2 linked regions of the Drosophila melanogaster genome follow. The protein of the gene in region 2 interacts with the protein of the main gene of each other region in a pairwise test. Each region holds a gene or a part of one and is shown on either strand. Other genes may lie near its edges.

The links.
Region 1: the proteins of roq (region 2) and CG6023 interact in a two-hybrid assay, tested with the Drosophila melanogaster proteins (one large-scale study listed by BioGRID).

The regions. Positions count from the first base shown.
Region 1 is NC_004354.4:18,313,415-18,317,892, reverse strand, and holds CG6023 (uncharacterized protein), read left to right. Parts: upstream 1-1,991; 5' UTR 1,992-2,160; coding exon 2,161-2,311; intron 2,312-2,556; coding exon 2,557-2,876; intron 2,877-2,956; coding exon 2,957-3,403; 3' UTR 3,404-3,769; downstream 3,770-4,478.
Region 2 is NT_037436.4:16,375,448-16,380,755, forward strand, and holds the start of roq (roquin), read right to left. Parts: upstream 3,120-5,308; 5' UTR 2,985-3,119; intron 1,792-2,984; 5' UTR 1,791-1,791; coding exon 1,629-1,790; intron 1,564-1,628; coding exon 1-1,563. Other genes in the region: Agpat4 (1-Acylglycerol-3-phosphate O-acyltransferase 4), read right to left, coding at 3,680-3,762, 3,823-4,180, 4,253-4,788, 5,024-5,189.

The sequences.
Region 1 (4,478 bases), on a different chromosome or scaffold from region 2:
TACGCTGAGTACTAAGTACTGTCGTACGTCACTCTGGAAGAGCTCATCAATGGAATGGTCATTTCTAAAAAGGGAATGGCAAACAGGAACGAGCGATAGATAGCGGATCTCCCTCAAACCGGATGACGTTGCAAGTTTAGCGAGTTCAGGCCGAGATTAGTGCGTGGCCAAAGTTAGCACCTCCTCGAGTGCGATAATTAACAGTCAACAATGCCTGGATGGGCGCAAAAAAAAAAAAAAATAAATTATAATAATAATAAAGAGGAGGAAATCAATACATATCGAATCAAAAGGAGAAGGCACCCATCTAGCGCTGAACAAATGCAATTCTGGACTGACAGCGGGCAAACTGCATTGGAAAACCCTTGGACATGGCCTCCAGCTCGAATTCCGGAAAAGTTGGCAATTATGGATCTGCCCAGAGCAATTGGGTAAAAACAAAGCTCGAAAAATTTGCCCAACTGATGAAATACTACGCAGAAAACTCGACAAGGGAATACGACTCCCATGAGCTTTGTGTCCCATGAGTGGGTTGAACTACGTGCGTCTTTATGAGTAATTGCTATGTCAAAGTGTGAGTGCCATGTTGGGCTAGGTTATGTGCTTGCTCGATGCACTGTGCACTACTGTGCACTGGCCATAGAAGAGACAGACACTCTGTCTGCCGGTTGCCGGTGTCTCTTATACCCAGTGCTCGATCAATTGGCCAAGTCCAGCGACCAGCGGCCAGCGGCCAGCGGCCAAGTGGCTATTGCCAGTCAGTTGCATGCAAAACGCGCACGTGCCAAGCGATCGATCGGAAATGCCTACGGAACGACGCGTCATTTGCCAGGCAAGTGGCACCCGCATCATAAATCGCCACTTAGTTAAAGTAAATACAGTAAATCGAGTAACTGAAGAATCCGAAGTGACGCCGCCGCCACAGCAGCTAAGAGACACGAGATATTCGCAAATTAATCAAAGTAAACGCGATTCCACTTTGGCTAATTCAGCCTGATGGGCATTGAGACCAATGTTGAATTTACATATAGCCATTACAATTTCCGGAAAGCTCAGTATTCAGGCATCAGGCTTATCAAATTTCGTACAAGAACAGTGAAATTCCCCATAAAAAATGTGTTTGTTGTCAAAATGTTGCCTCGAGCTTTTTGCTTTGGGTGTTACTCTGTTAGCTTGAACACTGAGTTTGGAATATGTATACCAAACAAATTCCAAGAATCTATCAAACATGTATTAATCAGCTAACAAACAGAGCAATTGGCATGTGTCGTTAAACAGTGACTAAAAGCCACTCATAGACAGAGCTAAACTAAAATGTTTGCAGTCGTCGTCCTCCAGGCAGGCAATTTAAATAAGGATTCAATGTTGCGATTGTAAGGTCAGCCTAATGCCAGTTGGCAACCAAGATGCCCGATTACTTGGTGTAGGGTGCAAGAATGCAATGCGACATCCGTTTTGGGCCATGAAGCGTGTGTGCATAAATTACAACGGTTGGCAACTCATTTGCCGCAAGACAGGAAGAAAACAAAACGTCATGTGCAGCGCTGCAACAGCGGCATGAACTACTGACCAGGGAGTAGCTAATCCCCGGCTGAGTCAGGAAGCCCATCCAAGCCAAGCCAAGCCAACCCACCCACTCACCCACTCACCCCCACCTCCGATAATTGAGAAAACCCAAATTCGAACTCCCTTTGCGGGCCGTTGTTTTTTTGATTCATTATCGTCATCGACCATCGGCCGCTGATGCTGCCGTTGCTGCTGCTGTGGTTGCTGCTATTGCTGCTCTTGCTGCTTGCTGTTGTTGTTGTTCACTTGTCGCTACAACGAGCACAACAAGTGTGAGTACCCGCCGCCCGCGCGCGTGTATGTGTGTGTGTGCGTAAAAAAAGTAAGCTCGGCCACGCGCTGCGCCGCTCGTGCGGCTTCGGCTACTGATATCGCCGGATGGCGGTCCGGTTTGTATTTAAATCGCCGGCGTGTGCCCCAACTCCTCATTAACCGTAAGATCTCGCAGAGCCCGCACGCCAGCCCCAGCTCTCCAGCTATCCAGCTATCCAGCTCTTTAGCGCGCTTTCAATCTGAATCTTGGCCAAATATCGAAAACCAATAAGACATACTCTCCGAACCGTGTGTGCCTAACATCACAAATCAAATCAAAATATGACCGCCAACAGCAGTGCCAGTGAATCCTTCGAGCTCCAATTCTTGGAGCGACTACAGCAGCAGCAGCAGCAGCAGGAGCAGGAGCAGAGTGCTCCGGCGGCGACAAAAGCGTCCTGCCAGCAGCAATCCAACATCATCGGTCGCATTTGTAAGTGTGCATTAAGATCTAGCGCCTCTGAATCATGTCGCTCTATCTGTATCTTTGTATCTATAACTGTGTCATCGCTGGGCAAACAGGAAAGTGCTCATCAAATGATAGGGATCTTGGGCATTGAAGTTTTCAATCATCATTATCTTATTGGCCAAGCCTGGGCATCCATCAGGATTAGGGAGATCTTTTGAACATCTTTGTATGAATCCTATTTACTGACCTTCCATCTTCTTGCATTGCAGCTACCTCCAAGTGCTGGCTCCTGGGCATCCTGCTGCTACTCACAGTCGCCACTAGTTGGCCAACGGGGACAATTGCCGCACCGCGTCGCGCTCGAGGATTGAGCCTGATTCTGCCGCACCGCAATCACGCACGACTACACCATCACCACCAGCACACCAGGTCAATAAGCACCAAGATCGTGCCCCTGTTAACCAATCAGACTGAAGGCAGGGAGCAGTGCACGGACCTTAAAATGACTCCCAATATCGAACACCTGCAAGTGGCGCTCGAGGTGGCCAAGAATACGCGGGAGGCGGTCCTCTGTCTGACCAAAGAATGGGTAAGTTAGCTAGAACGATGGACTTGCGGCAGCAGAGGCACTAAGTTTCCCATTTCCCATTTTTTTTCATTGCGAAACAGCTGAGGAATCAAAACCACACCCTGCCCCAAGATCTTCACTCCTACTCTCTGCATTCCCTGGCATTGAAGCATCCGCTCCAGTCGGAGGTCAAGGAAGTTAAGTTCCAGAACCAGCTGGGTGACTTTGTGTACAGTGGCAAGGTGACAACGCTGCAGGAGGAGATGCCGGCCATTATCGAGTCCCTGCTGGTCCTGGAGCATCTATACGAGATCATTGTGTTCGATCACCAGTCCTGGAACTGCTACTTCAATAACTTCGTGCATTTCTTCCATCACAACATGCACGAGGCTCTCAAGGTCGCCGGTCTCAACGATGCCTGCAATCCGAGGAACGCCGAGTACAATGCCGATCACATATGGCCGATGTTTGGCGCCGCCGTGGAGACCATCAAGGTGCTGACCATCATCGAGCACAAGTACGAGCAGCTGATCAAGCTGTATCAGTAATCCGCTGGACAGAGTTGGACGCTCCAGAGGAGCAGTAAAAGCCATACCAAAAATAATCGCCTCCGATGACCCACTGCAATCTCAAGCTAATAGGCTATGCCCACGAGTATCCAGATCCGTATTCGTCTACTAGACACCCTCATCTGCCTTAGACCCTATTATTTATTATAACTTATTAAATCCCCATTGCCCTCATACGTATTTATATCGCCTTTGCATCCTATTTATATACATACGCGTACCACCATACTCACTGAACACATTCACCGCATCGCAGGCTCGATAACTTATGAAAACTATTACTTAAGTGTATTTTTTTTATATATATTTACAATATTACAATGACTATTAATAAATTATACCGATAGGCGCATACGTGAAGTGCTTTTCTTTTCTGGTTGACCAATTTCATCATTCAGATGAAATTAAGTTACAACGAATTGGGGGCTTAGTCAACGGTGGGAATTCTGCCAACCTTTCGAAGGTCTACAACATCGATTAAAGCATGGGTGGTCATAAGATGTTTCCATGAATTGAAACAAGTGGAAATGGAACAAATCAAAGGTAGAGTTCAAAGTATAATTCTCAATTGCATAGCTAGCTAAGTAAATCGCTTAATACTTAGGGTTTTTTGATTTTTCACTGTTTTTTTTTTGGGGACTCGCGGGTTTATGACCTCCAATGCTTGAAGTTGGCAACCCAATTACCACTCCCCCAAATCGGAAATACTGGGGAAGTATGCGCGAGATTCCGTTTTTGGCCCGACTCGTCACCTGCCCTGACCCACCCCATTGTCGTTTATAGCTCGTGCCCGGGGCACGTTCCGATAGATAGATAGATACATAGATAGATGTATGTACATACATATATATCGGTTCGAGGTTTTCCACAGCGCGGCTGTTAAGAAAACCCCAAGTACCGTACAGCCGTCTGGCTGTGACTCATGGACCATTAGGCAAAATGTCGGGCAATCGTCGTGTGATCTCTGCATGTGACAAAGCAGTTTGTACACGGTAAAAAAGTGTGATATCTCCCCAGTGGCGGCTTATCGGAAATGTTTTATGATCATTCCTAT
Region 2 (5,308 bases):
ATTCGGTGGGTTGGCATTGCGTTGCGTTGGCGCTACCGGATTGGCTTGGTATTCTCTGGGCGAAGGAATCCTGGGCGTGCCACCGCCAAACCCGCTAAAGCGCGAATCGTAGCGGCTCGGCACTATGAGCCTGGTAATGGGACTGTGATGCGACGGCGGGAGACCACCACCTGGCGAAAGTCCCAAGCTGGGATCCAGATATCCCCTAGGAGAGCCCATATAATGCATAGGCGACATAGGTAACATGGGTGGCATGTTACCTAGAGGCGGTCCCTCCTGCTCGCCTAGTGGTTTCTTTATGGCTCCTACGCCTACCGCTGGAGGTCCCTGCAGCGCCAACGGTGTCTTCATATGTTTTCCTCGATTCCGTGCACGATAGCGTTCTACCTCCTCCTGGGAATGGGCAAAGGTACAGCTAGAACCTCGGGGACACACCCGCCGCACATTCAAGTCCCTGCATAAGCTGATCTTGTACTTCGGATTGCTATTGGTCGTCCCACCACTGCCACCGCCACTGATGCCGTCCTGCGCCTTGCGCACTCCGTGGTGCTGAAGGAAGTTCACCAGTCCAACGACCGAATGCCGCACTGCATCCAAGGCCTCAGCCAAAACCGACCACGGGGCAACCTCCGCACAGGGATCAATATTGGCCAGGTACTTCAGATGATGATGCAAACTGGATAGCTTCGCAGGATCGCTGGTCCGCTGCAAGGCGATGACCAATTCCTGGACTGATTGCGCAAAGGAGCTTGGCGTCTGCAGCTTATCGATGATGCTCTGCATGTGGCTTTTATGCATCACGTCGCCATACAATAGGGAAGACCATTGTTCCGGTGCAATTCGCAGACCCGCCTCGGTGGCTATCTGAACGATTTGGGCATCGTGCTCCCGGCGTAGGGCGTCATACGTACGGAATTCCTCTTTGAGCTGCATCAACGACGAGTCCGCCTCCCGCTTGGACACCTTGAAGCAGCTGGCGCGGTAGAGCAGCTGTACCACATGTCCGATACTCGTCTTGGAGGCCTGGGGAAACTTCGGCTCTAGTCGCTGCACGACGAACATGACCAGCACTTTGCGCGAAAGCGCTGATCCCTCCTCCAAGGCCAGCAGCACCAGTTTGAGCACCTCCTCCTGCATGGCGGGTCCAAGGAACTGGCATCCTCTTGTCCGCACTGCAGCCCACAGATTTGAGCTCAACTGCTGGGGATTTTGGTGCTGCAGGATCAGCTCGGTGACTGTGCGTTCGCCTAGGGATCTGGCTGCTCGAAGCGCTCTCACCCGTCCCTCCTCCTCCATCAGCTGGCAGTTGACCAGAGTAACCAGTTTCCGTAACATGGGTCGAGTTAGAAGATTGCCATTTCCGTTCAGGTTGAGGAAGGACTTCAAGTGCAAAGCCAGCTCCTCGATGCACCGCTGACCCAGTTGGTAACACTTAAGGTGCTCCGGCTCCAGCTTCTGCACACTGGGCGGTGGTGGTGCCAGCTCGAGGAGCTCCGAGTCCTTGACCAACTGGAGCAAGGCATGGTTGATGGGCAAATTGTCGATGTCACTGACAATCACGGTCTGAGAAAAGAGATTAGGGCAGATCGTTTAGGGTTGGCGCAATACTTAAATGGAGTTCAACTCACCTGATCGAAGGGACACTGCCGGTTGTAGAGGGTCGTCAGGCATAGCTTGCAGATGGTGTGCCCGCAGCCCAGACTGACCGGACATCGCTGGCTGGCCGCGAATTCATTGCAGCAGATGGGACAGTTCAGAAAATCTGTCCATGAGGGAGCCTGAATCGGCATGCTGTGCGTAAATTACATAAAAATACCAATTAAAATAAAATAAGCCAAAAGGTAAGGAAAATCTTATTTTAATGGAATCTTGGTGATATTGAAATCGGAACAAATTACCCGAATCAGGCTTGTTAAACATATTCTATTCATATATATTGTAGGAATGGCGGAAGTAATACTGCCTTTAAAATTTCATAGCATGAATGAGTAATGTTTCTTATCTTGGGTAAAGAAATCATGCTACAAATGTTCACACATATGCTCTATGGGTAATTCAATTTATGTATATCCTTATCAGATTTAACTTTATGGAAAACATTAGTTTTTTCTGAGAATGAAGTATAATATTTGAAACAGACTTGTGGCAGCCTACATCTATAAGTCTTAATGGAATCTATCACAATAAGATCTGTATAGAGCCCACCTATAAATACTTAAATTATCGATCTATAAAAGGGTAAATCGTGTAAAGATCTAATATCCCATAAAATATGCTCGTTATTATCGAATTGATGTAACGATGAAAGTGACGTGACTCAAGATAGTCTTATTTTCCTTTTACAACGATCAAAAGTGGCACAGTAAAAAGTTTCGCTTTCGTCTTTTTCTTCTTCTTGCCTTACCCCCAACGTCAGCTGTCGCCACACGCACACACTCGCGTGCTCCCCCCACACAGACACACACGCACACTCGTCTGCTGCTGTTTGTGTGCGAGGGCATTTGTACACGCATGCAAGTATATCTGTATGTATATATAGCAACTATATATTTTTATACCCCAGTTGCACTTCCTGGAGAACTTTTTCGGATCTTCAAGTGCTCAAAGGATCGCTAATATTCCTTTTGAGACCCCAGAGAGAGAGAGCCACTCACACACACACGCATAACTGCCTTTATGGGGGACACAAACGTAACTCGCTTTCAACGTCATCAAGCATCCGCTTTCTTTCGAGACGCGAACAAAGGGAATTTCGGGCAGTATCCTATAGGTTGTGCCAACCCAAGGAATGGCACCTTCGAAAAGTAGGGCCACAGGCCAGTGAAAGGTCCTTGAAACCAAGTAATCCCCCAGGAAAAACAATGAACTACACGAAAATCTCTCTCAACGTTTTTTTCGTTACGTTTCACTTTTCACTCTGCTTCGTGGATTTCGCACAAACTTGGTTTAATGCAATTTTTGGCACTGGTGCTGCACTGACTCACCTTCAAAATGCACATATTATTGCATTAAAGGTACGAAAATATGTTTTTTAATTTTCATTGGATTATTGTAAGAAATTTGGGAAGTTGCAATCAGTATGACCGCAGGTGACGAGCGGCGGAATACTGAATCCAGCTGGCTGAAAACGTTGAATGTCTTGCTGCACTGCTTACACGAAGGGTCGCACTAGGCGCTCTCAGCTGATTGCGATAAGCAGTTATCGTTTTGGACATCACTATCTATATTTGAAATTCGATAACCTAATTTTATAGCATTTATTGTATAAATGGCTAAAATATACAACACATGTTCTAATTAGAAAAACAAAAGTACAAGAAGTTTAAACTTTGTAACTACGACGTTTATATAAGTGGTAGAAGACTGAGAAATCTTTTCGATTTAATGTACAAACACATTAAATATTTGCCTCAAAGAAACTTTTAGTTCTTGTAAGTGAATTTGTGAGAAATTTTTTCGATTGGATGTACAAACACATATTAAATATTTGCCTCTAAGAATCATTTAGTTCCTGTAAGTGAATTTCGCATAAAATGTTATTTTATTCAGTTAACTACAATGGTTTATCGTACATATTCAATGTACATAATATTTCTATGGTCAGTGCAGTTGAGTTATTAGTCCATAGGTCGTATATTCCAAAACTGTTGCAGAGTTTATAAAACTCAGGTATGAAAATCTATTTCTTGGCAGCAGCTGCTCCATACGCAGAGGCTTTGCTGATCTTCGAAGCATTCACAGCGTATTCCATGAGGCTATAGACTGGAAGTACAAGTTGTAAAGTTAAGCACATATCCTCGAAACTAGAATTTCTCAACTTACATCCTCCCAAAATGGAAAGAACCGTGATGAAGCCAAACCAGTTGCCGGCAACCAGCGAGGTGACCAAGTAGTGCAGAATGCACAGGACGGCAAAGGTGGCCCAGCCCAAGAAGTTGAGGAGCGTGCTCAGGCGCGGCTTGTAGATTTTCTCGGGCACCTCCTTGACTCCGGAATTCTTAAAGAAGCTGCCGGTCTCGTGGAAGCTGTCGATGATCTTGTCCTTTTCCGCAAAGAAGTCCTGCATCCAGGCGGCGGCCTCCTTCTCGTCATCGGGAACCACGTCCAGTGGCACTCGGCGAATGTACATGTACGGTTCCACGGGCTCTCCGTTCAACTGGGACAGCATGGTGGGCTTTGGCTGTAAGTTAATTCAAGTTCGAAAATGTAATTTAAAATATATATACATATATATGAGATCTTAAGTTCTCACCTCGGCATTCTTCTTGAAGGCCAGATTGATGTCGTAGATGGCAGGACAGATGCCACGCATGGTGGGCAGACTGGTCGTGAATCCCTTAGTGCGCGGAATCAGATGGTGCTTGAGGAGGGGAAGACCTCGCTCCTCGGCGAACTTGACTGACAGCTCGTGTTTGGCGGGTGTGAAACGGGTGCCCTCCGCGTTCAGCAGTAGCCACACGGGATCCGGATAGGAGAAGACCTCCTTCAGCTGCGTCTTGATCACCACCTTGTCCTTCTCGAAGTTGCGGTCAAGGAAGATGAACTCGGCCATCCACCAGACCCATCCCAGGACCGGAACATAGCGCAGCATCTTCTTGGCATACGCCTTGGTGCCTCCCAGATTGCCCAGCTTGTCGGTGATCATCCAGGCGGTCAGCCAGTCGATCTCGTACGTGTGGTTCATCAGGAGCAGTCCATGCTCCTTGCCGAAGAACTTCTGCTCGTCCTGGGGATCGATGTACACCCTCAGCTTGCTGCCCGCATACCATTCCGCCACACAGACAAGGACTAAAGTGTGAGGATAGTTTTTAAATTATCAAAAAGTACCACTTTTACGTTATTTCATTTAATCATCAAATGTAAAAACTAAGTGATTTATACAAAAGAAGACCTTGCATATACCTAATCTAATCAGGAAAACAGGAAGTGTGCTGAAAACTACACTATACTTAATGTGAATGAAATGTGAAACGTTTATACTCATAATGATATGATAATCTATATTAATATGATGGTTACTTACTGCAATAGAAGGAGTAGTGCAGGTAGTAGGCCAGACTGCGGGATAGCTTCTTATCGAAGGGCCTCACGAGGAGAATCAGCAGGAGCTGGCCAATGTTGACGAAGAATCCGCATGTGAAGAAGGTCACGGCGATCAGCAGTCGCCCCAAACCCCGGAGATGCGACATCCTAGGCTAAGAATAGACGCAACTCAATAAATTCAGTCCGTTGGAGAAACGTTTACGTAATCGAAAGTCATGTCTGCAATGCAGTTCATAAATATGTCCAGCGCGCGATATCGACATTT